Anolis sagrei: one gene and its partners. The protein of the gene in region 1 interacts with the protein of each later gene in a biochemical or structural test. Links are inferred from orthologs where the notes say so. Each region holds a gene or a part of one and is shown on either strand. Other genes may lie near its edges. The genes, in order: UBXN2B, PPP1R7 and PPP1R11.

Region 1 (10,379 bases):
GGAGAAAGAAGGAAGGAAGGAAAAGTAAGTAAGTGGCTTTTGATATGACTCAAGCTTGGTACAAAATCCAAATAACCTAGATGAGAAGTTAGACTCTATAATCCAGCCATCACAGTAAATCCCTTGTTGTATTGTTTCTTAGAAAATGGTTTCTTTGATAGGGTGATTCAATATTGCACATGCTAATGTGCGGCTGCCAACCCACTGAATGGCTCATGAATATCCCAAGCACCATTCCAGGCTCAGCTCTGAGACACATTTTATTTAATCATAACCAAATATACAAGTTTGGCATTATCACTCTCCCTCCTCCTCATCTTCTGTTAAGGATCATTTGGATCTAGGAGGGATTCAGTGCAACGATGTGGCTTCTGAATTGCCTAGATTATATTACCATAATAACGGAAGACATCACATTTGCTCTTTATGTCTGGCACGTACACAGATGTAATGAATGAAGTCTGACTTGCTACATTTTATTGAGCTTGAAGTTACTGCTTTATGGAAAACTAGTTTATATACTTGGCTTATACACCAGCCTGAATGCTATTCATTAGAAAAAGTAATTGTTCGCTTTTACAGTTGTAGGGATACAGAGAGGTGAGGAAAAATATCCCTTTTTTTACAATCCTTTGTTATTTTAAATAGTATTTACACTATTTTCCATTTTCTTTTTCATAGTAATTTATTTTTTGTTGTCTTTGGAGGTACTTGCCCTGTGGAGTTTCTGAGTTTTTTAGGCATTACATAGGCACATCAATTGATATAAGAAGCACAATAATTCACCAGCCTGAAGCATGAAGCAGTACCTTTTTTGTCCCTCAGGTACTGAGCACACCTTGCTGGCTGAAATCTCCATAGCAAGGCTTTACTGCCCTCTTGCACTCTCACCAGCCCCACATCTAGTCAGATGCTGCTCTCATCAGCTGAAGACTTTTATGAAGCAGCAACTCCCATCAGCCCAACACCTGACCAGCTTCAGTTCCCATTGGCCCCACAGCTGCAGTTTCCATCAGCCCCAGATTTGCCTAGCAAAGGGCTATGGGTGTTGGGTGGTAAGTAAAATAGGCCTGCTGATCAGTTAGGAGGAGAAAAACCTGTTTGGTTGTGGGTAGGAAATCTAAAGCCATACATATTATAGAAGAAGAAAGAAACTAGAGTGCACACACTATCTTAGTTTAGAACCCTGTATACATTTTAGAAATAGTAAGAAATAGTAAGAAAGGTGGAAGCTGTTGAAAGAAAAAAAGTAATCCCTGGGTACATTTTGGAAGAAGCTTTAAAATGGTCTCTAGAAGGTTCAAAATATGTTTGTTTATTTATGCAAGGCTTACCTAACCTGGTTGTTTAATTTTACATGAATATAATATTAGTTTTAGATTTTTTTTAAAAGTCCACTGAAACTTGTTGACCTACTTTTCTTTCTTCGTGGTGTAAAGTTAGAGAAGTAAAGCCCAGAAACACATCTAGTCCATTAACTAAGAATGTACTCCAAACCATTGTACTGCTGAACTTACTGACCGGAAAGTTGGTGGCTCGAATCCGCAAGACGGGGTGAACTCTCACTGTTAGCCCCAGCTCCTGTCAACCTAGCAGTTCAAGAACATGCAAATGTGAGTAGATCAATAGGTACCATCTCAGCAGGAAGGTAAACATCACTCCATGCAGTCATGCCAGCCACATGACCTAAGAGGTATCTACCGACAACGCCAGCTCTTCAGCTTAGAAATGGAGATGAGCACCACCCCCCAGAGCCTTTACCTTTATCTGTGTGTCTGTGTTTCATTGTTCTGAGGCATCGAATGTTTGCCTTGTGTCTCTGTATATGCGGAATATAGATAAGGTGTTGTTATTGTTATTATCTGTGAGCAATCAAATCCACAAATGGCAAAACTGCAAATGTTGAAGGACAACTGTAGTCTTTTTTTTTTTTGCCTCCAATCATCATCATCATCATTTATTTCTTTTCCGCCTCTCCTTGTTGCTCAAGGCAGGTTATAAAACAGCTAAAAACACATAATCATCATAAACATTATATATACATATATTAAAACGTATTTCTACAAAATGCGTATAACAAATTTAGATGTCAAAAATAGCAGGCTACCAGCTTTGAATAACAACTTTACTATTGAACTGCAATTTAGTGTACCATGAATAAGGTTTGTAAAACAGCTGTTGTGATTTTCAATACATTACAGAAAAAAAGGAAAAAGCAAAATTAATATATTTAGTGAGTATTAAGTGTTACTTCACCACCACCTAGTGGTGAAGAATGTCTCTCCAAAGGCTTGTTTTTAACAAAGTCTTCTAAATACATTTTATGTGCATCCTCTAAAAAGGAGAAAAGCCTTTTCTCTTTTCAATAACAATAAATTTTGGCATATAGGGAGTAAATTAATTGTTATATTTCAAAAACTGAAATTGAAGCCAAACAAGACAGAGGTACTTCTGGTCAGTTGAATGGCCAAACAGGGTATAGGGGTCCAACCTGTGCTGGACAGGATTACACTCCCCCTGAAGACACAGGTTCTCAGCTTGGGAGTACTCCTGGATTCATCACTGAGCCTGGAACCTCAGGTCTTGACGGTGGCCAGGGGAGCTTTTGCGATATTAAAACTTGTGCGCCAGCTGCGCCTGTCCCTTGAGAAGCCAGACTAACAAGAGTTGTCCACACTCTTGTTACATCTCAATTAGATTACTGCAACGCACTCTACAAGGGGTTGCCTTTGAAGACTGTTCAGAAGCTTCAAGTAGCCCAATGCGCAGCAGCCAGACTGCTCATCGGAGTGGCATGTAGGGTACGTACAACTCCTATGCTGCGTCAACTCTTCTTGCTGCCAATTTGTTACTGAACACAATTCAAAATGCTAGATTTTAAATGGTTCTGGCCCAGCTCACCTGCCCGAATTCATCCCCCCTATAAACCATCCTGGGTGCTAAGATCTTTTTGGGGGTGGGCCTGTTCTCAGTCTTACCTTCTTCACTGGGGCAGCTGATGGGGGCAAGGGACCGGGCCTTCTCAGTGGTGGCCCCTTGGTTGTGAAACTCCCCAGTGAAATTAGATCAGCCCCCTCCCTCCTATCCTTTAGAAAACAAGTTAAAACCTGGCTATGGAACCAAGCATTTGGAGAGTAACACAGGGCTATGTGATTGGAACGGCTTCTGGATTATGGTTTTTAGTCTATGTGTAATCTTTTAACAGCTTATTTGTATATTTATATGTTAGCGTTTTATTATTTTCATGCTTTAACGCACAAGGTGTATTGTATTTTGTTTGTCTTATGTTAATGTGGATTTGAATTATTGCCAATTTGGAAGCCACTTCAGGGTTGAGATAGAGCGGGGGGAAATACAGTAAATAAATAAATTTATTTTATTTATTTAAAACATTTATATTCTGCCCTTCTCATCCCGAAGCGGACTCAGGGCAGAGCACAGTATATATAGGCAAACATTCAATGCCAAGGACATGAATTCATTATATGCATACATAAACATTAAAAACATTTTATCAATATTAAAATACATTAATTAAATACAAAATAATATTAAAGTCAATATTAAAATACACTGTTTAAAAGTCTTGATAATCTGTGTCTAATCTGCCCTGAGTCGCCCAAAAGGCTGAGAAGGGCGATATACAAATATAGTAATAAATAAATAAATGGCCTGAAAAGGTTTCCTATCACTGTTTTATTGCATTGTCCCAAAAGCTTGGTCCCACAGCCAAGTTTTTACCATCCTTCTGAAGGACAGGAGGGAGGGGGCCTATTTTATCTCACCACTCGGGCCGGGGGGGGGGGGGCAATCACCAAGAAGGCCCTCTCTCTTGTCCCCACCAATCACGTTTGTGACAATGGCAGGATGGAGGATCTCTGTGATGGTTCATAGGAGGAGATGCATTCGGACAGGTAAATTGGGCTGGGGCCATTTAGAGCTTTATAGGCCAAGGCCCACACTTGGAATTGTGCCCAGTAGCAAACTGGCAGCCAGTAGAGCTGGGGCAACATGGGAGTTGTATGCTCCTTGTATGCAGCCCCAGTTATTGACTTGGCTGCCTCTCGTTGGACTATTTGAAGTTTCTGAGCAGTCTTCAAATGTAAGCCGCCCCGAGTCCCCTTGGAGAGATGGTGGTGAGATATAAATAAAGTTTTTTATTTATTATTATTATTGAAAGGCAACCCCACATAGAGTGCGTTGCAGTATTCTATCTTGGATGTAGCAAGAGTGTGGACCACCGTGGCCAAGTCTGGCTTCCCAAGGTAAATAAATAAATAGTCCAAGAAAGATTAGGAAGTATTTTATTTTATTTATTTATTTATTTAGTACATTTCTATACTGCCCCTCTCAGCCTTCTGGCGACTTGAGGCGGTTTACAAGGCAAGAATTCAATGCCGCCAAGGACACAATTACAACATACAATATAAAATACATCAGCAACAATAAAACCAAACATTATAATGACACATACTTCAATCGATAATCATTAAAACAATGTCCATATAGTTATTCCATTATTATATCCTTTACTCTGTATTTTCAAATGCCCGCTCAAATAGCCATGTCTTAAGATTCTTCCGGAATGATAGGAGCGAGGAAGCAGATCTAATCTCCCTAGGAAGGGCGTTCCATAGCCAAGGGGCCACCACTGAGAAGGCCTGTCTCTCGTTCCTGCCAACCGTACTTGTGATGATGGTGGGACCGAGAGCAGGGCCTCTCCAGACAATCTTAAAGTCCTTGCAGGTTCATAAGGGGAGATTCGTTCGGTACATCCTGAAGTTAAGAGCTGTTTGGCAGTGGAATGTGCTGCCTTATAGGGTGACAGAGTCCAATTTTCTGGAGATTTTTAAGCAGAGGCTGGATGGCCATTTGTTAGTACTGCGTTGACTGTATCTTTCTACTCTTTGATTCTAGTGGCTAACATGTTTAATGAATGTAAGCTTTTGTGGACTCTCGGTTAACCGGAACTCAAGCAACCAGCAAAAAATTCAAATAAATAATACTTTAAATAAAATTAAAGGACATGTATTTATTGTTAAATTGTATTATATTATATTATTTCTGGAATTTATATGCAGGTTTTTTTTTTCCGGATGGACCCAAAGCAGCTAACAAAAACAACATAAACAATGTAACATAACCATTCATTAAATCAAGCATAAACCCATTATATTAAATTAGTCTTTAGTTTTCATTATTTGCTGTTGCTGTATTTCAGTATGAATATCAAGTCAATACAGAGTTTAGATATGGCATAGTAGTAGTTACGTCCATTTTTAATAATAACTCTCAGGCAACCAGAAACTAGATTTATCCAGCATGTACCAATTCCCATGGGTGCCGGTTAACTTTGGCTCCATCGACACGGCCAAATAATGCAGTTTCAGAATCCAAATTAACTATATTCTGGATTTTATCAGTCTACATTGTCATAAAATCCAGTTCAATGCAGTTAATCTGCATTCTGGAATTGTTTTACATGACAGATCCAGCCTGAGAGTCAATTATATACGAATCAGAAAGGGTCTATCTGCACAGTGTGATGAATGCAGTTTGGCACTCCTTTAACTGCCACGGCTCAATGCTATGGAATCATGGGAGTTGTAGTTTTACAAGGTGTTTTGATTTCTCTGCCAAGTTCACACCGATATGCTTGGGACCAGAAGTTACTGGGAGCCCCATCTACACTGCCATATAATGCAGTTTCAAACTGTATTATATAGTAGTAGATGGGGCCCCAAACACTTTCTGGCCCCCTCAAAATTTCGGTGTGAGGGCTGCTCAACCTGTGACGGCCCTGAACTGAAAGGATAACACACATTGGGCCCGCCTCCCTTCGGAGTCCTGTCAACCCAGAGTGACGGCCGGGCCAGCCAATGGGAACGGCGCACGCGCAAACAGGTGCGAGTGGGCGGGGCGGAGGGAGGGCCCGAGAAGACAGGCAAGAAACTCGAGCGAGGAGGCTTTGGGGACCAGCGGAACCGACGTGGGCCCTGCACCTGCGAGCCGGTCGCCATAGCAACCCTCGCTGCCGGAAGAACTCCTCAGCGAGCGAGCGGGCGCGCGCCTGCCCAACCGCCCTCCCGCGTGCTCCTCTCTCTGGATTTGGCAGTTGGCACTCGCCCAGCTCGAAGATGGCGGACGATGGGACACTCGCCGAGCGGCCTCAGGAGGAAGACGAGGAGGAGGAGGAGAAGGAGAAGGAAAAAAGGGAACCGGAGGCGGCTGCAGCAGCGGGTACCAGCGGAGGGAGGCGGGAGAAAGGGCCCCGAGGAAGCGGCCGCCCGCCCACCGTCCGGGATCTGCAGGTAGGGAAGGCAGTGTGTGTGCGGCCCAAGGGCCTCGCCCCCTCTCGCCTCCTTCCTCCTCCTGAATTACAGAAGAAACCCGAGCCCTGATGCCTTGGGGTGGTTCGGAAGAGTGGGCCAAGCCCATGACTCCCTTCCTCTTTGGCTCAGACAGATTTAGGGGTCTTTTCTCCGCCCAAATGGGAAGCAAACGTGCCCCTGACGATGACGACACATTTTGTCACGTCAGTCTTGGAAGGAATGCGTTCCCAGTGCAGGGAAGCCATGGCTATACGGAGAGTTATTTTTTTAAATGCAGATTGAGCATCCCTCATCAGAAATGCATGGAAGCAGGGCCCTTCCACTCAGCCATATAACCCAGAATATCAAGGCAGAAAATCTCACAATACCTGCTTTGAACTGGGATATCTGAGTCCACACTACCATATATTCCAATTCAAAGCAGATAATTTGGGATTTTAGGGTTGTCATCTTGTCTTCGGTGTCAGTTGGGAGCCCCTCCCCCCAACACCAACTGCTGCTCTGAGACTAGCCTAAAGAGAGGGGTCCAAACAGATATTGTATTTATTTTATTTATTGTACTGTATTTTACTTGTAAGCCGCTCTGACCTTCGGGGTGAGAAGGGCGGCATATAAATGTCATAAATAAATAAATAAATAAAGCAGATAATTGGCTGCCAGTCAGCTTCCGAGCACAATTCAAAGTGCTGGTCTTAACCTATAAAGCCCTAAACGACTCCGGCCCAATTTATCTGTCCGAACGTATCCTCACCTACGAACCATCAAGATTGCTAAGATCGTCTGGAGGGACCCTGCTCTCGATCCCACCGCCTCACAGGCGTGGCTGGTGGGGACGAGAGACAGGGCCTTCTCGGTGGTGGCCCCTCGACTCTGGAACTCCCTTCCACTGGAGATCAGAACTGCCCCTTCTATCTTAACATTCAGGAAACAGGTGAAAACTTAGCTTTGGTGATTGGCATTCAACAAATGAGCCATGATCCTGTGATATGGATGGATGACGACGAATAATGATTTTTGATGACGACTGACCACTGTAATTATGATTATGATTGTATTTTGCTATTTTAATGTTTTAGTGTGATTTAGAATATGATGTTTTAATGACTGTCTGTAATATTGATGTTGGAAACCGGCCTGAGTCCCTCGAACGGAGGTGAGAAGACCGGTATATAAAACTACTAAATAAATAAATAAATAAATAAATAAATAATTTGGGATTTTACTCAGCTGTGTGGAAGGGGCCATGATCTCGGATTTTTCCTCTTTCAGTTCGGAATACTTCTTTATACATAATGAAAGGGCTTCAACACCAAACCCGTTTGTGGAGTTTATTTCTAAAAGATAAAATGTACACTTTTTACAGGAATTTTTAAAAACGTCTGACATATTCTTACGCTATAGCAAACATTTTTTCCAAACTCTGTACCTAAATGATTTAATGCATTTTGATAACTTTTATATGTGTAATATGTATAACACCATAGTCTACTCCAAGCCATCAATGTGCTGCCACCTCATTTTTCTTTTCTGTTTTTTGTGAGGGTACCTTTTGGAAACATACTCCACGTTTATCCAGTCAGTTTCAACCTATGAATGTAAACGTAGTTGCTGTGAGTTTTCCGGGCTGCCAGGTTCCAGAAGCACAACCCAGAAAACTCACAGCAACCCAGTGATTCTGGCCATGAAAGCCTTTGACAGCACAATGTAAACTTGCCTTTTATTGGTATGGATCAGGCCTGGGCAAACTTCAGCCCTCCGGGTGTTTTGGACTTCAAATCCCACAATTCCTAACAGCATACCTGCTGTGGGAGTTGAGTCCAAAACACCTGGGGGGCCAAAGTTTGCCCTGGCCTGGTATGGATTATTTTAATGTGTTTTAATCATAGTTCTGTGTCTTTTAATATATGTGCTTTCATGGTCTTATGCTGTTATCTATGTATTTTTATTGTGTTGTACCCTGCCTCCAGCTATGAAGAGAGGCGAGAAAGAAATACAGTTTATTTTTATTATGTTTGTTTCATATACGCATCCTTTGAAGATAATTTCATATGCAGTATTTGGTACTATTCCATTATCTGGGTGGAAGCCACTAGGGGGCACTAAAGAGAGATGGATGGTCCGTTTTATGGGAATGTTGTGGGGGTAGAGGATGAAGGAATAAAATCATTTCCCCCTATTTTCCTGTTATTCACCCCCCCACCACCACCCATGTCCCCGTCGTGGAAGAAACTCTCATTTATGATATGAGAAGTGGAAATATTTATGTATTTATTTACCATATTTATCCCACCTTCTCGAGGGGATTCAAGATGGCTTTACACGTAGGCAACTATTCAATAAGCAGCAAAAATGGGGGGAATGGTTTTCATCAACTCCCTCACTGTAAAATGGACCATCCTTCTCTTTGTAGCATCTCCTAGTGACCTCTGCCTGGATAATGGAACAGTATCCAATATTTTAATAATTTTGTGCATGTAATAAAGTGTATGTGGAATCATCAGGGGAAAAGTTGTCACTATCTCAGCCACTATCTCAGTGGATAGTTTGAGGTTTTGGAATATTTGGGGGTTTTTAGAATTCAGGATAAGAGCTGCTCATTAAAATTGCTGTGACAGTGTATTCCTATGTATAGGTACAGAAAGTACTTTCACTTCTATTGTGTAGGGCTCCAAGTAAGGTGATATTGACAGATAGAGAAACTGCTCCGCAATGTTACTTCTACGCTCACCATTTGATTAATTTTTTAAATGATTACTGGGTGTTTGTTTTTTTTGTTTACTTGTTAAAAATAATCTGAACCCCTTATTCATGGATTCTGTAGCTACGGATTCAATCACCTATATATACAAGCAGTCCCCATGTTACTGACAAGATAGGTTCTGATAGTTTGTTCTCAAGCTGAATTCGTTTGTAAGTCGGAAAATGTATTTTTTAAAGTATAACTCAGAAGATTTCACCTCACTTTCTATCCCTGTAATAATTGGATTTTGAAAAAATTGGCTTTTTGTGGAAACAAGGATTGGTGAGAACGCTTCAGTTGAGACATCTTTTCCCCATGATAATTCTTCCAGGAATGATTTTCCCTTCCTATAGGTAGATTTCTCTCATTTCCTGTTTTCTCTCCCTGTTCTTAAATATGAATCCTTTGTATGTCAGATGTTTGTAACTGTACTGCCTGTGTGTGTGTGTGTCTCCAAATGACAGACATTTGGCATTTGATATAAGGAACATTATTTTACTAAGCCTCTGTATATAGTGTGAGCATCCATTGATTTTGGTATCCGCAAAGAGTCCTGGGACAAACTCCAGTGCATACCAAGGACCCACTGTATGCTTTCTTATCTTTTATGACACAGAAATATTGGAAGCAAGGAAGGAGTTTATTCTAGAAATTAGAGTTTATAAAACTCTGGTGATGTATTTTCTTACTCAGCATCTCAAACTATGAAATATGTTTTGTGTGTATATTCTACAATTTTGTAGCTTTAACAAATTATTTGTAAGAATAATTTATAATTATAAATTATAAGAATAATAAGAAAGTGAGAAACGTCAGGAGAAATGCCTCTAGAACATGGCCATATAGCCCGAAAAAACCCACAAGAACTATTTGTAAGAAAATAAATGTCCCTTTGTATAATGGTTTCTGCTTTAATCAGAAAACACCATGCTGTGTAGATGTATTTTTACTCTGTCTAAATGTATTTTACTTATCAGGAAAATCACTTGCAATAAAGCCTTGAACATTTAGCAAAAGATTGCCAAGTTATAGTGTTTGTGGGTTAGAAATAGCAGCATTTTATTTGATCTGGGTCTCTTGTGGATTTTTTTTTCTCTTGGTTTAAGTGAGTTGTAATGATGCCAATATAACCCATAATATAAACTGCTCAGCACGCAGTTTTATTTCTCTAATATCCTATGATATAAGATATTTATCTTGCCCACGTGCACCACTCAGTATAGGACAACATGGAAGGCAAAATGTGACAAAACAAAACATGAATGTATATAGTTATGCACTTTTTAAACAATGAGATTGGAATAGTT
Region 2 (10,971 bases), on another chromosome or scaffold:
CCTTGAGTCGCCAATTGGCTAAGAAAGGCGGTATACAATTACAGTAAATAAATAAATAAATTTTTAATAGCTTTAGAGTACATTTACAAAGTGGAATGAATGCAGTTTGACACCGCTTTAACTGCCATGGCTCAATGAAATCCTGGGAGTTGTGGGGGTTTTTGGGGGGCACCAGCACTGATTGGCAAGGAAGGCTACAAGTTCCAGGATTCAATAGTGTTACACCATGTCAGACTGCATTAATTCTACAGTATAAATGCACCCCTATAGTGTTTAATTAGTGTTACATCCCAATGAATATATTTGGGGTTACAATAAATGTATAATGGAGACAGGTACATTAACTATATGTAAATCAGAGGTTGGAAAGTAATGCTTTCACATGTATTGTCAAAGGCTTTCATGGCTGGAAACACTGGGTTGTTGTAGGTTTTTTCGGGCTATATGGCCATGTTCTAGAGGCATTCTCTCCTGACGTTTCACCTGCATCTATGGCAAACATCCTCAGAGGTTGTCCGGCACAACTTCCATCAAATATTGACCATAGAATTGCACTGAAAAACCTAGAGATTCCTAGAGAAATGTTCTCACTAGGAACTCATTTGTCTTTCAACATGACTCTATGATCAACTTATGGCAGAGGTTGGTCATAAAGTTGCACTGGAAGACCTACAGAGAACACTTTAATGAAATCCATGAAAGATCAAATCTGGAAAAGTCAAACCCACAAGTATGGAGGTTTGACTGTAATGGCAAAACACAATATTTATATTAAATATTAGATAGAGGCCATAGTAGCACAGTGGTTAAAGCTGCAAGCTGCAGAAAAGGCCGCTGACCGAAGGGTCAATAGTTTGAAGCTGTGAGTCGGGGTGAGCTCCCGGCTGTTAGTCCTAGCTTCTGCCAACCTAGCAGTTCGAAAGCATGCAATGCGAGTACATCAATACGTACTGCCTCTGTGGGAAGGTTTAAAGGGCTCCCCATGCAACCATGCTGACAAAAAGATCGGAGATGTCTATGGACAGCAGGCTCCTTCGGCATGGAAAATGGAACAAGAGCCCTTCCCCATGGCTGGAGGTTGAACATTGCCTCCAGATGCCAGAAATGGAAAAAGGGGGTGGCCTTTACACAAACAATGACCTTATTGTATGTCATTGTTTGTGTAAAAAGGCATTGAATGCTTGCCTTATATGTGTTCCGTAATCTGTTCTGAGTCCCTCCAGGGAGATAAAGCAGACTATAAATAAAGCGTATTATTATTATTATTATTATTATTATTATTATTATTATTATTATGGAGCCCCGGTGGTGCAGTAAGTTAACTGCTGAGCTGTTAAACTTGTTAACCGAAAGGTCACAGGTTCGAATTCAGGGAGCGGCAATCTGCTAGGTTAGCTTCTGCCAACCTAGCAGATTGAAAACATACAAATGTGAGTAAATCAATAGGTACCGCTTCGGCAGGAAGGTAACGGCACTCCATGCAGTCATGCCGGCCACATGGCCTTGGAGGTGTCTATGGACAATGCCGGCTCTTCGGCTTAGAAATGGAGATGAGCACCACCCCCCAGAGTTAGACACGACTGGACTTAATGTCAGGGGAAAACCTTTACCTTTATTATTATTATATTACATAACTAGCTAAGAAAAGCCTATGAAATTAATCGGGTAGCCAGAAGAAATATACTTAGTATATAGTACTTGATTACGGAAATTTGTCACAGATGATAAAATACGGTAGTAAATATGGTTTAAATATTTTTTTATTATTAGCAAACTAATATTTAAAATGACACAATGCATGTTATTATATATTTCACATAAAAGTTTAAACATTCAAGCAAACAAAGATCCAATTTTAAAAATATATCACTCCTAAACTGGTATCTCTGCTTTTTTCCAAAGAGGCAGAATATATAAGAAAATAACATTCAATCTCGAGAAGCAGGGCTTTCTTCTCATTATTATTATTATTATTATTATTATTATTATTACAGGCTTGTAAAATTTTTAAAAAGGGAATTAGTCAAAAGCAGTATGACTTTGGGCACATCTACTCTGCAGAATTAATGCCATTTGGCACCAATTTAACTGCCATGGATCAATACTATGGAGTCCTGGGAATTGTAATTTGGTACCATCCTACTTTGGAGAAGGAAAACATATTTTATAAAACGACAGCTCTCATGATTCTGTAGTACTGATCCATAGCAGTTAAAATGTGGCCAAACTGCATTAAACCTACAGTGCAAGCACATCCTGAGTGTATAGAGTATGCATACCAATGCATCCATATTCAATGGCAGAATGCCACTATTGTTTCCATCACTGAGAGTAGGATAGCCAAGAAAAGCCTTCATTCTGTCTCCCTTTTTTTGGAAGCAGCTCATTTTTAATCTGACTCTTTCTTAGGCCCTTTTCACACAGTTGCATAAAATCCCACATTATCTGCCTTGAACTGGAATATATGGCAGTGTGGACTCAGATAACCCAGTTCAAAGCAGATATTGTGGGATTTTCTGTCTTGATATCCTGGGTTATATGCCTTCATGGAAGGGCCCTTATGCTTTTTAGACAGGCTTATCCATAAATGCATGAATGTAATATATAGTAGGCTCTCATTTAAACGGCACTCAAGCAAATGGCAAAATGATAATAAAATAAATAGAATTAATTATAAAAGCAAATAAAGGCAATTTATAACACAGTAAAAACAGTAAAATTGTGTTCTATTGAGTTTGTCTTTTATTTGCTTCTAATTACTGTATTTCAACATGAAGTCAATACAGAGTTTATGGCATTGGTATAGTATGGTGAGCCTTTTAAATATATAACTCTCAACCAACCAGAAACTATATTTATCCGGCATGGGTGCGTATTAACTGAGGGCACTTCCACACAGCCATATAACCCAGAATATCAAGACATAAAAAAATCCCACAATATCGGCTTTGAACTGGGTTATCTGGGTCCACACTGCCATATAACGTGTCCAGAGGAGGGCAACTAAAATGATCAAGGGTCTAGAGAACAAGCCCTATGAGGAGAGGTTTAAAGAGCTGGGCATGTTTAGCCTACAGAAGAGAAGGCTGAGAGGAGACATGATGAAGGCCATGTATCCATATGTGAGGAGAGGTCATAGGGAGGAGGGAGCACACTTGTTTTCTGCCGGCCTGGAGACTAGGACGCAGAACAATGGCTTCAAATGGATGTCGAGATATTGGGAATATAGATATTTATACATATATTGTATATACATTAGAAGCACTGAAGTATAGAAAAATCAGGTTCTCTCTGTATGAGGAAGCCAAGCTGACAGGACAGAGGAATGCTGAAGGAGATCTGTGTTGAAAGGGGAGGAGAAGGGGGGGTATGTTATCTATACACTACAAAGACTAATATAGCTTAGCACAGGCCATATCTTCTTACTTCTAAAAGTAAGGAGTTTCTCTCCCTCCCTCCTGACAGGTCAAAAGTAAGCCCCTGGTGGATCTATGTAAGCTGAATTCTAGTTATCTCTATTGCTGTAAGCTGCTTTAGAAAAAAAATATAGAGACATGCCCCTTGCATGTAGGAAGATATAATTTTATATGTCTATGATGCAAAAGTGACATAGTGATGATTTTATGTATGTAGAAGCATGTTTCTTTGTTTACCTGCATTTGAAGATGTATATAAGGTAAAGTCAATCCTTTATTGGGGCTCTAGTTGGCTTTTGGACGTGATTCCACGCCAGGGTCTCAGCTGAAAATAAACATACCTTTTCCGCCTCAAACAAAGGATCGCTCTTGGTATTATCTCTCCTATCAGCCATAACAAAACTACAGGAAAGGAGATTCCACCTGAACATTAGGAAGAACTTCCTGAGTGTGAGAGCTTTTCAGCAGTGGAACTCTCTGCCTTGGACTGTGATGGAAGCTCCTTCTTTGGAGGATTTTAAGCAGAGGCTGGATGGCCATCTGTCAGGGGTGCTTTGAATGTGATTTTCCTGCTTCTTGGCAGGAGGTTGGACTGGATGGGCCATGAGGTCTTTTCCAACTCTATAATTCTATATTCCAGTTCAAAGCAGATAATGTTACTAACAGAAGCGGCGCTCGGGGAGCATACTACTCCTCTGTTGTGCCAGCTCCACTGGCTGCCAGTTTGCTTTGGGCACAATTCAAAGTGCTGGCTTTAGCCTATAAAGCCCAACTTACCTGTCCAAATGCATCTCCTCCTATGAACCAACTAGGACGTTAAGATCATCTGGGGAGGCCCTGCTCTCGATCCTGCCTGCGTCACAAATACATTTGGCGGGGTGAGAGACAGGGCCTTCTCAGTGGTAGCCCCTCAGCTCTGGAACACCCTTCCAAAGGACATCAGATCAGACCCCTCGCTTTTAACATTCCGGAGGAAAGTTAAGACCTGGCTGTTTGAGCAAGTGTTTGGAAATCTTTAAGGCAGTGTAATAGACATAGGAATATGGAACGATTGGATGACAAGACTGGACCTTGTTTTTAACTAGGAGACGGAAATGTTTTATTGATCTTATTATGATTATATATTATATAGAATCATAGAATCCTAGAGTTGGAAGAGACCTCATGGGTCATCCAGTCCAACCCCCTGCCAAAAAGCAGGAATATTGCATTCAAAGCATCCCTGACAGATGGCCATCCAGCCTGTTTAAAAGTTTCCAAAGAAGGAGCCTCCGCCACACTCCGGGGCAGAGAGTTCCACTGCTGAACGGCTCTCACAGTCAGGAAGTTCTTCCTCATGTTCAGATGGAATCTCCTTTCTTGTAGTTTGAAGCCATTGTTTCATGTCCAAGTCTCCAGGGAAGCAGAAAACAAGCTTGCTCCCTCCTCCCTGTGGCTTCTTCTCACATATTTATACATGGCTATCATGTATCCTCTCAGCCTTCTCTTCTTCAGGCTAAACATGCCCAGCTCCTTAAGCCGCTCCTCATAGGGCTTGTTCTCCAGACCTTTTATCATTTTAGTCACCCTCCTCTGGACACATTCCAGCTTGTCAATATCTCTCTTGAATTGTGGTGCCCAGAATTGGACACAATATTCCAGGTGTGGTCTAACCAAGGCAGAATAGAGGGGTAGCATTACTTCCCTAGATCTAGACCAGGGGTCCTCAAACTAAGTCCCAGGGGCCGAATGCGGCACTCCAAGGTCATTTACCCGGCCCTCGCTTAGGGTCAACCTAAGTCTGTAATGATTTGAAAGCACACAACAACAACAATCCTATCTCATCAGCCAAAAGCAGGCCCACACTTCCCATTGAAATACTAATAAATTTGTATTTGTTAAAATTGTTCTTCATTTTAATTATTGTATTGTTTTTAAGGTTTTTTTGCATTACAAATAAGATATGTGCAGTGTGCATAGGAATTCATTCATTTTTTTCTAAATTATAATTCGGCCCTCCAACAGTTTGAAGGACTGTGACCTGGCCCTCTGTTTAAAAAGTTTGTGCACCCCTGATCTAGACACTATGCTCCTATTGATGTAGGCCAAAATCCCATTGGCTTTTTTTGCTGCCACATCACATTGTTGGCTCATGCTTAACTTGTTGTCCACGAGGATCAAGATCTTTTTAATATGTTAATGTTTTAAATGTTTTATGTTGTTTGGGCATTGAATTTTGCCTCTGTAAACCGCCATGAGTCGCCCACGGGCTGAGAAAGGCGGTATACAAATATAGTAAATAAATAAACAAACAAACAACCAATAAATAAATGTGGGATTTTTTTTTCAGCTGTGTGGAAGGGGCCTGAGAATCTGCTCTATATGGCAATGAGAAACAACAGCATAAAAAAAAAACATTAACACCAGAACATGTCGCCCACAGGCTTTTTATTATTATTATTTCGTGTCAGAACAGCCAGTCAATTATATTACATTTCTAACAGAACAAAGCAAACAAACAGACATAATACAAAATTTGTGAGTTTGGTAGTTGATTAAATGTCCTTTGACCAGTATCTGGCCACTTGGAGTGCCTCTGATGTTGCCGCAAGGAGGTCCTCCATTGTGCATGTGGCAAGGCTCAGGTTGCATTTGCAGCAGGTGGTCAGTGGTTTGCTCCTCTCTGCACTCGCATGTCGAGGATTCCACTTTGTAGCCCCATTTCTGAAGGTTGGCTCTGCATCTCGTGGTGCCAGAGCGCAGTCTGTTCAGCGCCTTCCAAGTCGCTGAGTCCTCTGTGTGCCCAGGGGGGAGTCTCTCATTTGGTATCAGCCATTGGTTGAGGTTCTGGGTTTGAGCCTCCACTTTTGGACTCTCACTTGCTGAGGTATTCCAGCGAGTGTCTCTGTAGATCTTAGAAAACTATGTCTAGATTTAAGTCGTTGACGTGCTGGCTGAGAGAAGCCTCCTCGCAGGATTGCAAGACATCCGGGCGTCCCCTGGGCAACGTCTTTGTAGACGGCTGATTCTCTCACCACAGAAGCGACCAGCATGCCCACAGGCTGAGAAAGGCGGTATACAAATATAGTAAATAAACAAACAAACAAACAAATATAGGATCTTATTCAGCTGTGAGGAAGTGGCCTGAGAGTCTGCTCTGTATGGCAATGAGAAACAACAGAATAAAAAAACATTAACACCAGAACAGGAAAAAAATCCTAGATGTCCCCATCAATCGCACGTACAAACCATCCACCAAAATCCCAATATCTGGAGCAAGAAGCATCGCTAGTAGGAGCTGATGATCTTCCCATGGTATGTTACTAATGTAATCCCCCTCCTTTACTTTATATTACAGTACCATATAATATAATATATATTTTGGTGATTTAAACCCTTTCACGCTATGCAAGAGGCGACAATGCTTGGCTCCTTGCTACTGAATCCCACCACCAGCCTTGAAATCCCTGGGAAAGAAAAACTACATTTCCCATGGGGCGGCGGGGCTCCGCGCATGCGCCGGCACTCCCAAGGGAACCTCTGCGGCGAAGTGGCGCTCCCGATTGGCTGGAGCCCTCCCCGATGTGGCTTCCCATTGGCTGCCCGCGAAACTGGGGCCGATGCCGGAAGGAGGAGGAGGAGGGACTGCCAAGCGTTATGGCGGCGGCTGAGTCTGAGGGCGCGCAGGAGATGATGGAGGGTGAGTGCATGCTGCCTCTGTCCCAGGATCTCATCCCAGATTGTCTTCTTATTCCAGATTATCAGGCAGTGGAGACCCAGGGCCCTTCCACACAGCCATAGAACCCAGAATATCAACATTATCTGCTTTGAACTGGGTTATCTGAGTCCACACTGCCAGATAATACAGTTCAATGTGGATTTTGTACAGCTGTGTGGAAGAGGCCTCAGATGGGAGCGAGGGTGCATCTGTACTGTGAAATTAATGAGGGTTGACACCGCTTTAGCCACAATGGCTCAATGCTGTGGGATCATAGGAGTTTAGTAAGACCTTTAGGCTTCTCTGCCAAAGAGGGCCAGTGCCTCACTAAACTACAACTCCCAGCATCACATAGCATTGAGCCATGGCTGTTCTAGCGAGATTAACCCGCTTTAATTCTGCATTTTTGTGCTGGGGCAGCTCCTTTCATTGCCTGCCACCATCTCTACATCATGCATGGGCAAACTTGGGCCTTCTAGGTGTTTTGGACTCCAACTCCCACCATTCCTAACAGCCTCAGGTCTTTTCCTTTTCCCCCTCAGCTGCTTAAGCGGCTGAGGGGGAAAAGGAAAGGACCTGAGGCTGTTAGGAATGGTGGGAGTTGGAGTCCAAAACACCTGGAGGAAGGCCCAAGTTTGCCCATACCTGGTCTACACTGTAGAATCGATGCGTTTTGACATCACTTCAACTGTTAATGACTCAATTCTATGACAGCCTGGGAGCCGGAGTTTTGCAAGGGCTTAATTAATCCTTCTCTACTTAAAGAGAAATGCAGTAGTTCTCCTTGCATTAGGTAGATAGTACTCCTGTTGTTTCTTCTGCTGTTGCTGTTTCTGCATTTCGGGCGCATCCCCACTGCAGAATTAATGCAGTTTGAGACCACTTCAACTCTCCTGGCTCAATGCTATAGAATCCTAGGATTTCCAGGACCCTTCCACACAGCCCTATACCCCAGAATATCAAGGCAGGAAATCCCACATTATCTGAGTGTGGACTCGGATAACCTAGTTCAAAGCAGATATTGTGAGATTTTCTGGCTTGATATTCTGGGATATAGGGCTGTGTGGAAGGGCCCCCAGTTTGAGGAAACACCAGCACTCTTTTCAAAGAAGGATTACTAGGATGATGATAATATGTTGTGTATTTATATGTTTTCAGTAATTGCAATTGATCTATTTTAAGTTATGTTAATTTGACCTATGTTTTGTTTTAACTGTTACTGTTAAACTGTTTAAACCGTCCTGAGTTCCTTCCGGGAGAGGAGGTGGGATATAAATAAAACTTATTACTATTTGATACACAACAAGATTAGTACACAGCAAACATGATCACTATGCTGGCTTTTGTATTGGATCACACCTTGGACACTTCCCAAGTGTCTTGGACTATGTGATGTATCGGCAAATAATGCATGCAGATCTGAGTTGGGTGACCTTTTAGTTGGCAGATGGTGATTTTGTCAGCGCCAATTGTTTTTAAGTGCTGGTCAAGGTCTTTAGGCACTGCACCCAGTTTGTCAATCACCACTGGGACCACCGTTATTATGAATAATAAACATTATTATTATTATTATTATTTTACTGACACAAAAACAGTATGTCACAGCAAACGAGATATATATGCTGGATTTTGTATCACAAAATCACAAGTTGAACACTTCCCAAGCGTCTAGGACTGTGTGATGTATTTTCGAATGTTGCGTGCAGATTTAAGTAAAGTGGTCTTTTGCAATTGACAGATTGTGAATTTGTCAATGTTTATTATTTCCAAATGCCAGCTGAGATCTTTTGGCACAGCACCCAGTGTGCCGATAACCACTGGGACCACCTGTACTGGTTTATGCCAGAGCCTTTGCACTTTGATTTTGAGGTCTTGATAATGGCTTATTATTATTATTATTATTATTATTATTATTATCCTTCTCTGTGAAGGAGTGTTGGTGCTTTCCCAAACTAGAATACTTGTTGTTGTTGTAATTGTTGTTGTTGTTATTTCTTACCTGCTGTAATGGCAGGTTACAGCACAGATAAGAACACACAACCATTACGTAAAATACATATATTGAAACATAGTTCAATGAAATACATAGGAGCCCCCGGTGGCGCACTGGGTTAAAGCCCTGTGCCAGCAGGACTGAAGACCGACAGGTCGCAGGTTCGAATCCTGGGACAGGTGGATGAGCTCCCTCTATCAGCTCCAGCTCCTCATGCGGGGACATGAGAGAAGCCTCCCACAAGGATGATAAAACATCAAAAATCATCCGGGCGTCCCCTGGGCAACGTCCTTGCAGACGGCCAATTCTCTCACAACAGGATGCTCCTGACACGACAAAAAAAGAAAGAAAAAGAAATACATATCTTAAAATACACAGAACAAAGATTAAAATATAGCGAACACAAGATGCGAGTTAAAAAATTAATGACTGCATAAAACTACAAATCGCATGATTCCATACCATTGAGATGAGGCTGCTAAAGAGCAGCCAGACTGCATTAATTCTCCAGTGTAGGTGCACCTGGGGAAGATTTTTAGGAAGAAGCTGCATTTGACAGCTTCGCCCGAAGTCACACAATTCACTGCCTCCTAGAATGTCAACTTTAGCAGCTACTGACTCATAGCTAAGGCAACTCCTACCCATCTTTTATAGTCCTTTGCTGATTCTTCTTTATTTCCCATGAGTTGCTTCCCAAATTGAACCCTCTACCAGGCATGGGAAAACTTCAGCCCTCCCGGAGTTTTGGACTTCAAATCCCACATTTCCTAACAGCCGACTGTTAGGAATTGTGGGAGTTGAAGTCCAAGACACCTGGAGGACCTAAGTTTGCCCATGCCTGGGCTAGCCCTAACTTCAGCCTTTGCCTGCTGAGATTTACCTTGAAAAATAACAAATGGGATACTTTGTTACAGGGCAGTATAGAGACTAAAACCCAAATACTTGGTTATATATTCTTTTCTCCAAACTCAATGAGTTTGGAGAAATTTGTTCTTGATCATTATGCTTTTATTTACTACATTTCTCTTCTGTCCTTTGTCAAAGAATGGCATCTTCACTGTATAGTGGGCCCTTGATATCTGCTAGCATTTTATTCAAGGATCTCTCATGGGACCCAGAATCTGTGGATGCTCAAGTTATATATCATTATAAACATTGGCACAGTAAAATCATTAGTGTCATATAAAATGAAAAAAACAGGATTTGCTATCTGAATTTTTGGAACAAGGTATTTTCAAGTCATGGATGATTGAATCCATGCATATGGAGGAGCCAAAAGTATATATTTATATTCACATGTATATGGATTTTGTATTCTGTCATGTCATTGCTCACTGCCTTGAGTCTCTGTGGGGAGTAAGGCGGGATAAAAATACAGTAAATAAATAAATGTATACAAAAAGAACATTTAAATTTGGTGTAGTCCATGATGAGATATTTTTTTATCTGTGTAAATATATACTTTAGCACATAGTAGATTGTGAATACAGTATATATGAGACCATTTAACAGAACTGCTGTTTGGCTGCATGTAATATGTCTGCAAAAGTGTTTGCTGTCATGTATGTAATAAATTCCTTTTCGGCACTTACATATTTGAATGTGACAACTGTGTTTTTAGTACTGCAGAATGATAGACCATAAGAAATGAATGAATCCTATGACTTTGAATGCAAGAGGCCAGAGACTGGTACTACAGCTTATACACTTACACAAGTCAAGAAAGTACAAATTGGCCGCTTAAAGGGATTCAAGACTAAGTTACATCTTTATTTATTAAGCCAGTATGCAACAGACAGATCATATGAGCTCCATGACCTCCCCATTAATTCAATTACTGCCATGTGAAATGTTTGCAAGACATG
Region 3 (10,516 bases), on another chromosome or scaffold:
AGGCGACATCTCTGTAGACAGCCAATTCTCTTACACCAGAAGCAACTTGCAGTATATTCTCAATTCGCTTCTGACGCGATAAAATAAAATACATTTTAAAAATTTAAAAAACAGTGGATGATGACTTTCTGCACCTTCATTCACAAATGGAGACTGGAGTAAAGAGTCCCTTTTGGGGTTGAGAAGGGTGGTATACAAATACCGCAAATATAAATAAATAATAAAGTTGCCTTCGGGCTGAAAAGGGTGTGATAAAAGTGTGCTAAATAATTTATATAAAGAAAAATGTCATGTTCATTTGTGGGATTAACATAACTCAAAAACCACTGGGCGAATTGAAACCAAATTTGGACACAATACACCTATCAGGCCAACAAGTGACAATCACTCATAAAAACACTGAAAAACACAGATTAAAAGCCAAAATAATAATAAAAAAATACATTACAATGCATTGTCAAAACTACATATAGACACATATACACAAATATATACATACATACATATAAACACACACAAAACACATATACACAGACTGGGCCACAGCAACATGTGGCAGGGGACACATAGTAAATAAATAAATCAGAAGACTGAGACTTGGAAGAACAGCTAGGAATGAACTAGATAAGGTTGTCAAGTGTAAAGTTATATCACTGAATATCCATGTTATTGTAATTATGATTTATTTTTATCATAATGTACAAGGGATCAGGAGAAAGCTAGGATATGGAACTAGAAGTATAAAGATACAGCATTGAATACTAAAATTCCTGAAGAACTTCCTGATGGTATGAGTTGTTTGGCAGTGGAAGATACTGCCTGGGAGAGTGGTGGAGTCTCCTCCTCTGGAGGTTTTTAAGCTAGCTGGATGACCATCTGTTTGGAGTACTTTGATTCCTGCATGACAGAAAGGGGTTGGAATTGATGGCCCTGGCAGTCTCTTCCAACCATGAGATTCTATTATTCTAAAGTTAAGATTGCCCATGCCACTGTATTTCCCATTTCTATGTATTGCTGTGAAAGCAGGACAACAACGAAATCTGTCAACTCATTTGAAATGTATAGCTGGAAGAGAGTTCTACAGATACTGTGGACTCCTAAACTGAACAATAAATAGGTCATTTAGAAGGCCGATTCTAACCAATGAGCATAATGCACACTTACCTTTCAAGGCAGTGCTCTTGCCCTGAGATTCTTCCCCTTTGGAATGAGGACCAGAGCAGCTTACATGGAATGAGGACCAGAGCAGCTTACATGGGTAACATTATGCTTGAGGAGGAAAAGCAGCTTCCTACTGTCTCCATATTTTATACATCTTTTATGTGTTTCCCACATCAAATTGTATGGCATGGAACAATTCCAAATATTTATTTTTTTATTTCAAATATTGGTACCCTTCTCTACCCCCAAAGGGGGCTCAGGGCGGCTTATAGCTGGCAACAATTCAATGCCCCATAAATACAACAGATAAAACAACAGTTAAGGTAAAGGTTGTCCCCTGACATTAAGTCCAGTCATGTCTGACTCTAGGGTGTGGTGCTCATCTCCATTTCTAACCGAAGAGCCGGCGTTGTCCATAGACACCTCCAAGGTCATGTGGCCAGCATGACTGCATGGAGCGCCGTTACCTTCCCGCCGGAGCGGTACCTATTGATCTACTCACATTTGCATGTTTTCGAACTGCTAGGTTGGCAGAAGCTAGGGCTGACAGCTGAAGCTCATGCCACTCCCCGGAATCGAACCTGCAACCTTTTGGTCAACAAGCTCAGCAGCTCAGTGCTTTAACCCACTGCACCACTGGGGGCTCCAAAAACAACAGTTACATGATAAGTAAACAATAAATCAGATTAAAAACCATTTAAAATAGTACAAATAGTCCGAGTTCAACACCTCCCCATATGGACATTGTTCTATCAGTTGATCCCTGTGGATGCTCGTTTCTGCAACTTTTCCATCTCTACAATGTCATTTTTTGACATTTCTTCTAAGTGCACAATATTCTAGATTCAATTAGCATAAAGGCAGAATTGTATAGCAGTGGTTTTATTTTCAAAACGTCTTTTTCTAATGATATCCAATTTAGATACTGTATTTTTAAATGGTTTTTCTATCATAGGGAAAGACTAAAAGTTCTTTGTACAGCGATGAGCAAATCGCTTAAAGTCCTTGTCAGACCGAATCTGAAGAATCTCAATGGCTGCAGGGAGTCAAAGATCAATGACAGAGCGTTGGGGGGATCGCTTAAGCCTGGCTCCAGGATAGGGGCTTAAAGCCTGCAATACACCAGTCTGAATCCTCAGCCTGCAGCCTGACATGAAGGAGACAGTGACCTACTTTACAGCTGGAACGGAAATCTCACCCACCTTAAAAGCAGGGCTATAAATGTAACACGCAGACGGTGCAATAATAAAGGAACAAAAAGCACCTTGTTCATTTTGAGCAAGAATCAAATGCTCACCTAATGATAACTCGATACTGTCTACACATATCCTGCAGAGTTCCCCCCTTCTCCCTGTGGATTCCTTTATAAAGATTATACTTTGCGTATATAATTTAAATAGGAAGATATTTTACCCAAAATTGCCAACTTTGATCCAAGCTTTAAGAATTGGAAAGAAAAAATCCTGCAAAGCAGATGCTGCTGAATTTAAACAGAAATGCTTAATAAAATAAGTTGTCCTCTATTTAAAGCTGCTTTGACAGAACTTGGGAGTTGAGATTTGGATTTCCATTTCTAAATTGACCCCATCCAGCATAGCCAGTAATTACAAGCATTTTTCCCCATGTCAGAAGCGACTTGAGAAACTGCAAGTCGCTCCTGGTGTGAGAGAATTGGCCGTCTGCAAGGACGTTGTCCAGGGGACGCCTGGATGTTTTGATGTTTTACCACCCTTGTAGAAGGCTTCTCTGATGTTCCTGCCTGGGGAGTTGGAGCTGACAGAGGGAGCTCATCTGCGCTCTACCTGGATTCTAACCTCCGACCTGTCAGTCTTCAGTCTTCAGTCTAATCACCTCTCAACAAAATCTAATCACCTCAACAAAAATTTGCTCCAGGCTCTGTCAGACCATTATATGCTAATCAAGGTCGTCAGTTGAAACATTCACACCTAGCTCCAGCAGACAAGAGTCCTTTGTCCCACCCTGGTCATTCCACAGATATATAAACCCATTTCCCTTGTTCCAACAGCTCACCTATTATTATTATTATTATTATTATTATTATTAAACTTTATTTGTACCCCGCTAGCATCTCCCGAAGGACTCGATGCGGCTTACAAAAGCCAAGGCCTCAATACACAACATAACAATACACTTAAAGCAAATTAAAACAATTAAAGCAGTATTAAAACAACAAAACCACAAGCAATAAACAATACATCAAACAAGATAAAACTAGGCCGGGCCAGAGTAAAGGGTACAGGATTAAAAAGTGCTGATGTGACAGGTGAAATGTAAGGGTTATAGGGCAAGTGCAGTGTGTGGCAGTCTTAATTCTACTAAAGTGCTTCTGGGACTTGGTATTGGAGGTTTCCTAATCGGGAAAGGCACATCACAACAGCCAGGTCTTCAAGTTTTTTCTGAAGACTGCCAATGTAGGGGCCTGTCTAAGATCTTTGGGGAGGGTGTTCCAGAGACAGGGGGCCACCACGGAAAAGGCCCTGTCTCGTGTTCCCACCAAACGTGCTTGCGACGCAGGCGGGATCACGAGCAGGGCCTCTCCAGATGAGCGTAGTGAACGCGTGGGTTCGTAGACGGAGATGCGGTCACACAGGTAGGCTGGTTCCAAACCGTTCAAGACTTTGTAGGTAAGCACCTGCACCTTAAATTGGGCTCGGAAGATAAATGGCAGCCATTGGAGCTCCTTGAACAGGAGGGTTGACCTCTCTCTGTAGGGAGCACCAGTTAACATCCTGGCTGCTGCTCGTTAGAATTTCCGAGCCGTTTTCAAGGGCAGCCCCACGTAGAGCGCATTAAGGTAATCCAGTCGAGAGGTGACCAAGGCATGGACCACCCCGGCCAGGTCAGCCTTCGCGAGGTACGGTCGCAGTTGGCGCACGAGTCTCAATTGTGCGAAAGCCCTCCCAGACACCGCCTGAGCCTCAAGTGTAAGCGATGAATCCAAGAGGACTCCCAGACTGCGGACCTTTGGCTTCAGGGGGAGTGTAACCCCGTCCAACACAGGTTGCCACCCTATACCCCGGTCAGGTTTACGATCGACCAGGAGGACCTCTGTCTTGTCGGGATTGATCTTCAGCTTGTTCCTCCTCATCCAGATAGACACAGTGGCCAGGCACTCGTCCAGCACCCGAGAGGCCTCCTTGGAATTGGGTGGAAAAGAGTAGTAGAGTTGTGTGTCATCTGCATAGAGGTGGCACCTAACTCCAAAACTCTGGATGACCTCTCCCAGCGGTTTCATGTAGATGTTAAAAAGCATGGGAGACAAAATGGAGCCTTGCGGGACCCCACAGGTCAAGGGCCAGGGGTCTGAGCAGGCGTCTCCCAGCTTCACCAACTGGGATCGACCCTCCAGGAAGGACCGGAGCCACGACAGAACCATGCCCCCGAGACCCATCCCAGAGAGACGACCCAGAAGGATACCATGATCGATGGTATTGAAAGCCGCTGAGATGTCCAGAGAAAAGCGACTAAAATGATAAAAGGTCTGGAGAACAAGCCCTATGAGGAGCGGCTTAAAGAGCTGGGCATGTTTAGCCTGAAGAAGAGAAGGCTGAGAGGGGATATGATAGCCATGTATAAATATGTGAGAGGAAGCCACAGGGAGGAGGGAGCAAGCATGTTTTGCGCTTCCCTGGAGACTAGGACGCGGAACAATGGCTTCAAACTACAAGAGAGGAGATTCCATCTGAACATGAGGAAGAACTTCCTGACTCTGAGAGCCGTTCAGCAGTGGAACTCTCTGCCCCGGAGTGTGGTGGAGGCTCCTTCTTTGGAAGCTTTTAAACAGGCTGGATGGCCATCTGTCAGGGGTGATTTGAATGCAATATTCCTGCTTCTTGGCAGGGGGTTGGACTGGATGGCCCATGAGGTCTCTTCCAACTCTTTGATTCTATGATTCTATGAGAACCAACAGAGTCACACTCCCCCTGTCCAGCTCTCTACGGAGGTCATCCACCAAGGCTGTCTCGGTGCCGTGACCAGGCCTGAAACCAGACTGTGACTGATCTAGGTAGTTGATGCCACCTAGCAGATCGAAAACAGCTGTGAGTAGATAAATAGGTACCAATTAAGCAGGGAGGTATTTTAATGGCACCGTAAGGAAATACCAGACCATTATATGCTAATCAAGGTGGTCAGTTGAAACATTCACACCTAGCTCCAGCAGACAAGAGTCATTTGTCCCACGCTAGTCATTCCACAGATATATAAACCCTTTTTCTTAGTTCCAACAGACCTCACTACCTCTGAGGATGCTTGCCATAGATGCAGGCGAAACGTCAGGAGAGAATGCCTCTAGACCATGGCCATACAGCCCGAAAAAACCTACAATAACTCTATAGTAGTATAGTTTCGAAAAGCTCTGCCTCTAACTATAGTAGCATAACTATAGGGCCATGTTCTAGAGGCATTTCTCCTGACGTTTCGCCTGCATCTATGGCAAGCATCCTCAGAGGTAGTGAGAGGTAGTAGTATACTAGTCTTGGAAAGCTCTGCCTCTAACTGCGCATGCGTCTGGGTTGCTGTGCTCTTTTCAGGCTGTATGGCCATGTTCCAGTCGCGTTGTCTCCTACGCATGCTCTGTCTTCTTCTCCAGTACGGCGGAAGTGACTTTGGAGTCTTAGCTGGGGGACGCCTTACCGTGAGGGACGGAAATAGAGAGGCGGAGGGAGGCGGAAGCAGGGGGACCGACCGGAAGTGGGCAGAGGGGAGAGGCTTGCTGCACCTGGGAGGAAGGTGGAGCGAAGAGGCGAGTCTGAGTGAAGGTGGCTGAAGCGGGGCCACGAAAATAGCTTCCCCGTGAGCGATTCCTGGCCGGGGCACCCTGCGGATAAGGCCCCCCCCTTCAACAAGAGCCACGGCCGAAAGGGTCCCATCCCGCCCGACCACCTCTTCGACGACCACCACAACAACCATGGCGGAGTCTGCGGCCAGCGTGGGATCAACCGCGACTCTGACCGAGACGGAGGTGACCGAGCCGGTGAGAAGCGAGGGCTGGGCTTGGTGAAGGCCTGGTGTGGCCCTTGTGCCAGTGCCATAGCAACCATGGTGATGGTGCTGATGGAGGAAGAGGAGGGAGGAGGGGGGGGGGCTGTGCTGCGGTTGTTATAGCAACCAGTGGGTCGTGAGAAGGAACTCTTTCTCCCCTGAGAAGGGAGGAGGAGAAGGAGGAAAGGAGGATGATGATGATGATGGTGACAGCCACCAGGTGGGCCTTCCCATTGAAGGCTGCCACTGCCAACGCACTGTGAGGCATGCTTGCTCCATGAAGCGCCCACGTTCACAGGTAAAAAGGGGCTGGAGAGCTTTGAGAGGGAAGCAAATCATAGAATCATGGAATCAAAGAGTTGGAAGAGACCTCATGCGCCATCCAGTCCAACCCCCTGCCAAGAAGCAGGAATATTGCATTCAAATCACCCCTGACAGATGGCCATCCAGCCTCTGTTTAAAAGCTTCCAAAGAAGGAGCCTCCACCACACTCCGGGGCAGAGAGTTCCACTGCTGAACGGCTCTCACAGTCAGGAAGTTCTTCCTCATGTTCAGATGGAATCTCCTCTCTTGTAGTTTGAAGCCATTGTTCCGCGTCCTAGTCTCCAAGGAAGCAGAAAACAAGCTTGCTCCCTCCTCCCTGTGGCTTCCTCTCACATATTTATACATGGCTATCATATATCCTCTCAGCCTTCTCTTCTTCAGGCTAAACATGCCCAGCTCCTTAAGCCGCTCCTCATAGGGCTTGTTCTCCAGACCTTTTATCATTTTAGTCGCCCTCCTCTGGACACATTCCAGCTTGTCAATATCTCTCTTGAATTGTGGTGCCCAGAATTGGACACAATATTCCAGATGTGGTCTAACCAAAGCGGAATAGAGGGGTAGCATTACTTCCCTAGATCTAGACACTATGCTCCTATTGATGCAGGCCAAAATCCCATTGGCTTTTTTTGCCGCCACATCACATTGTTGGCTCATGTTTAACTTGTTGTTCACGAGGACTCCAAGATCTTTTTCACACGTACTGCTCTCGAGCCAGGCATCCCCCATTCTGTATCTTTGCATTTCGTTTTTCATGCCAAAGTGGAGTATCTTGCATTTGTCACTGTTGAACTTCATTTTGTTAGTTTCGGCCCATCTCTCTAATCTGTCAAGATCGTTTTGAATCCTGCTCCTGTCCTCTGGAGTATTGGCTATCCCTCCCAATTTGGTGTCGTCTGCAAACTTGATGATCATGCCTTCTAACCCTTTCGGTCATTTCTACCCCGCCCTTCTCACCCCCTAGTGGGGACTCAGGGCGGCTTACATCCGGCACAATTCGATGCCAACAGTTACAATAAAATGCAATAGCAATAACACAATAGATTAAAAACAAACAATTAATACAGTACAATACAATACAATATCAACTAAAAACCGCTCTATAGCCCGCGTTCATCGAGTTTTAAAATCCGTCAATCCATTTAGCATTACCACAGTCCTTTCCAACTCTAGTCATCGTTACCTTGTTAATCTGCCAGATTACCCAAATGCCTGGTCCCATATCCATGTCTTCAGCTTCCTTCTGAAGGAGAGGAGGGATGTTGACAACCTGATTTCCCCGGGGAGTGAATTCCACAGGCGAGGGGCCACCACTGAGAAGGACCTGTCCCTCGTCCCCACCAGCCTCACTTGTGATAAAGGTGGGGCCGAGAGCAGGGCCTCCCCAGAAGATCTTAAACTCCGTGGTGGGACATAGAAGGAGATACGTTCGGACAAGTACACTGGGCCGGAGCCGTATAGCACAATATTAGTAACATACATTCTCATATTGTACTACATCAGTATACTGTAATATTATTCATAATATTACAAGCAATATGAAATATACAATTATTATATTGTATTATTATTACTTTTGTATTATTGTATTATTATTATTATGGAGCCCCCAGTAGTGCAGTGGATTAAAGTGCTGACCTGCTGAGCTTGTTGACCAAAAGGTCGCAAGTTCGAATCCGGGGAGCATCGTGAGCTTCCACTGTCAGCCCCAGCTTCTGCCAACCTAGCAGTTCAAAAACATGCAAATGTGAGTAGATCAATAGATACCAGTGGAAAGGTAACGGCGCTTCATGGAGTCATGCTGGCCACATGAACTTGGAGGTGTCTAGGAACAACGCCAGCTATTTGGCTTAGAAATGGAGATGAGCACCAACCCCCAGAGTCGGACACAACTGGACTTAATGTCAGAGGAAAATCTTCACCTTACACTAACAGCAACTCTTTCAATGTACAGTGGACTCTCAATTAACCGGGACCCATGGGGATTAGTAGATGCTGGATAAATGTAGTTTCTGGTTGCTTGAGGGTTCCTATTAAAAATAGGCCTATTAAAAAAACTGGACTTCATGTCAGGGAAAACCTTTACCTATTATTATTATTAGTATTATATTGTATTACAATATAATATTATTAATGATATTATATGTGTATACAATATATCAAACTTTTTAAACAGAGGGCAAGGTCACAGTCCCTCAAACTGTTGGAGGGCCGGATTATAATTTGAAAAAAAATAAATGAGTTCCTATGCACACTGCACATATCTTATTTGTAGTGCAAAAACAAACAAACAAAAAAACCCACTTAAAAACAATAAAATAATTAAAATGAAAAACAATTTCAACAAATTTAAACTTATTAGTATTTCAATGGGAAGTGTAGAACCACTTTTGGCTAATAAGATAGGGTTGTTGTTGTTGTTGTTGTTGTTGTTGTTGTGTGCTTTCAAGTCGTTTCAGACTTAGGTTGACCCTGAGCGAGGGCCAGGTAAATGACCGTAGAGGGCCATATCCAGCCCTCGGGCCTTAGTTTGAGGACCTCTGCAATATATTATATTATTACCACAGCACAATATTAGTATTATATTGTACTATACCACTATACTGTAATCTTATTAGTAATATTACATGTAATATAAAAGATATAATTCTTATATTTTATTATTATATTGTATTACATTATAATATTATCAATATTATATGTGTATACAATATATTATATTATTACCACAGCACATCAGTAATATATTAATACTATAAAGTGCAAGTTCGAATAGCAGTAAAAGTGCAACAGCTCTTGGTCTGCAGCCTTTTGCTCCAAAATCTTATGAATCAAGGTCTCTAGAATCCATAGATTGGTAGTATATAAAATAAGTCTAAGGTGAAGGCACTTTCCCCCTCCCAAAGTAGCCCAGGCCCATAGACCAGTCTTCCTAAGTCGTCATCCAATATGGCGGGTGTTGAGGGAGCCACAATGGAGGACGGATCTGAATGCAGCCGGTGGTGATGGTACGGCCAAGAGGTAGGTGTAAAATGGTCATAGGGAACCTGTCAGTGTGATAAACCTCCGAAAGATTCACAAGACCAGCAAGAGGGTATCTGAACAATCAGGCACTGGAGTGATGGAGCAGGCAGGGGTAATCACAGCCGAGAGCAGGAACAGCAATAGCAGATGGCGGCCATGTTGGCTGAGATAAGCGGGAGGCTTCCAGTAATGATGAAGCCTCTAATATCAGCAGTGGTGGCAGCGATCTCCGAGGCTGTGGCAGCAATGATATGACAGCACCTGGGATGGAAAAAACCCTCTGGAGTCACCGGTGCCGATGTCAGGGCACTGATGAGTTTTTCATAAAGCCAGCCGCAACAACAAGGCAAGGTCCAGTCCCAAATGGCCAGCCATGGATGATGGTCTTTAGGCCCCTCAAGGCGGTGAGAGATGGTAATTGGGACCCAAGCTAGTCCCAATGGTGCCTACATTAATGGTGGTAAGTCAGAGACTAGCAGTGACCAGTGGCAGGAGGAAATGGCGGCAGATAATTGTGCCGGCTACAGTAGGTCAGGTCTTTAAGAAGGGAGGGAGCGTGTTTCAGCCACGTTGAAATGGCAGGGCTCAACCTCTTCACCCTTGGTCTTCACCCTTTCTTGCCAAAAACTGTACGAATCTTGCCACAAACAGACAAGAATTCTTTCTCCCACCCTGGACATTCCACATATATATAAACCCCATTTTCCTAGTTTCCAACAGACCGCAGAACCTCTGAGGATGCCTGCCATAGATGCAGGCAAAACATCAGGAGGGAATACTTCTGCAACATGTCCATACAACCTGGAAAACTCACAACAACCCACGTTTGGAAAGGCATTACTTTGTTAGGGATCATAACCTTTTGGAAAGTATGATCTTCTTGACAAGAGTTTAACACTCGCTTAGTGGTAAATATCCACTAGTATTCATGCAAGGCACTGGCTTCTCAGCTGTTAGACTGATATACCTAGGTATCTCTTTGAGTTGTTAGGAACAAAGATATGCC

What was found.
Region 2: the proteins of UBXN2B (region 1) and PPP1R7 form a complex in vitro, tested with the Homo sapiens proteins (2 studies listed by BioGRID). The link is inferred for Anolis sagrei from reciprocal best matches to the Homo sapiens genes UBXN2B and PPP1R7.
Region 3: the proteins of UBXN2B (region 1) and PPP1R11 form a complex in vitro, tested with the Homo sapiens proteins (2 studies listed by BioGRID). The link is inferred for Anolis sagrei from reciprocal best matches to the Homo sapiens genes UBXN2B and PPP1R11.

Annotation. Positions count from the first base shown.
Region 1 is NC_090024.1:48,751,085-48,761,463, reverse strand, and holds the start of UBXN2B (UBX domain-containing protein 2B), read left to right. Parts: upstream 1-5,920; 5' UTR 5,921-6,137; coding exon 6,138-6,311; intron 6,312-10,379. UniProt on the Homo sapiens protein: Adapter protein required for Golgi and endoplasmic reticulum biogenesis. Involved in Golgi and endoplasmic reticulum maintenance during interphase and in their reassembly at the end of mitosis.
Region 2 is NC_090023.1:227,042,442-227,053,412, reverse strand, and holds the start of PPP1R7 (protein phosphatase 1 regulatory subunit 7), read left to right. Parts: upstream 1-6,887; coding exon 6,888-7,095; intron 7,096-10,971. UniProt on the Homo sapiens protein: Regulatory subunit of protein phosphatase 1.
Region 3 is NC_090022.1:23,182,768-23,193,283, forward strand, and holds the start of PPP1R11 (E3 ubiquitin-protein ligase PPP1R11), read left to right. Parts: upstream 1-5,792; 5' UTR 5,793-6,091; coding exon 6,092-6,157; intron 6,158-10,516. UniProt on the Homo sapiens protein: Atypical E3 ubiquitin-protein ligase which ubiquitinates TLR2 at 'Lys-754' leading to its degradation by the proteasome.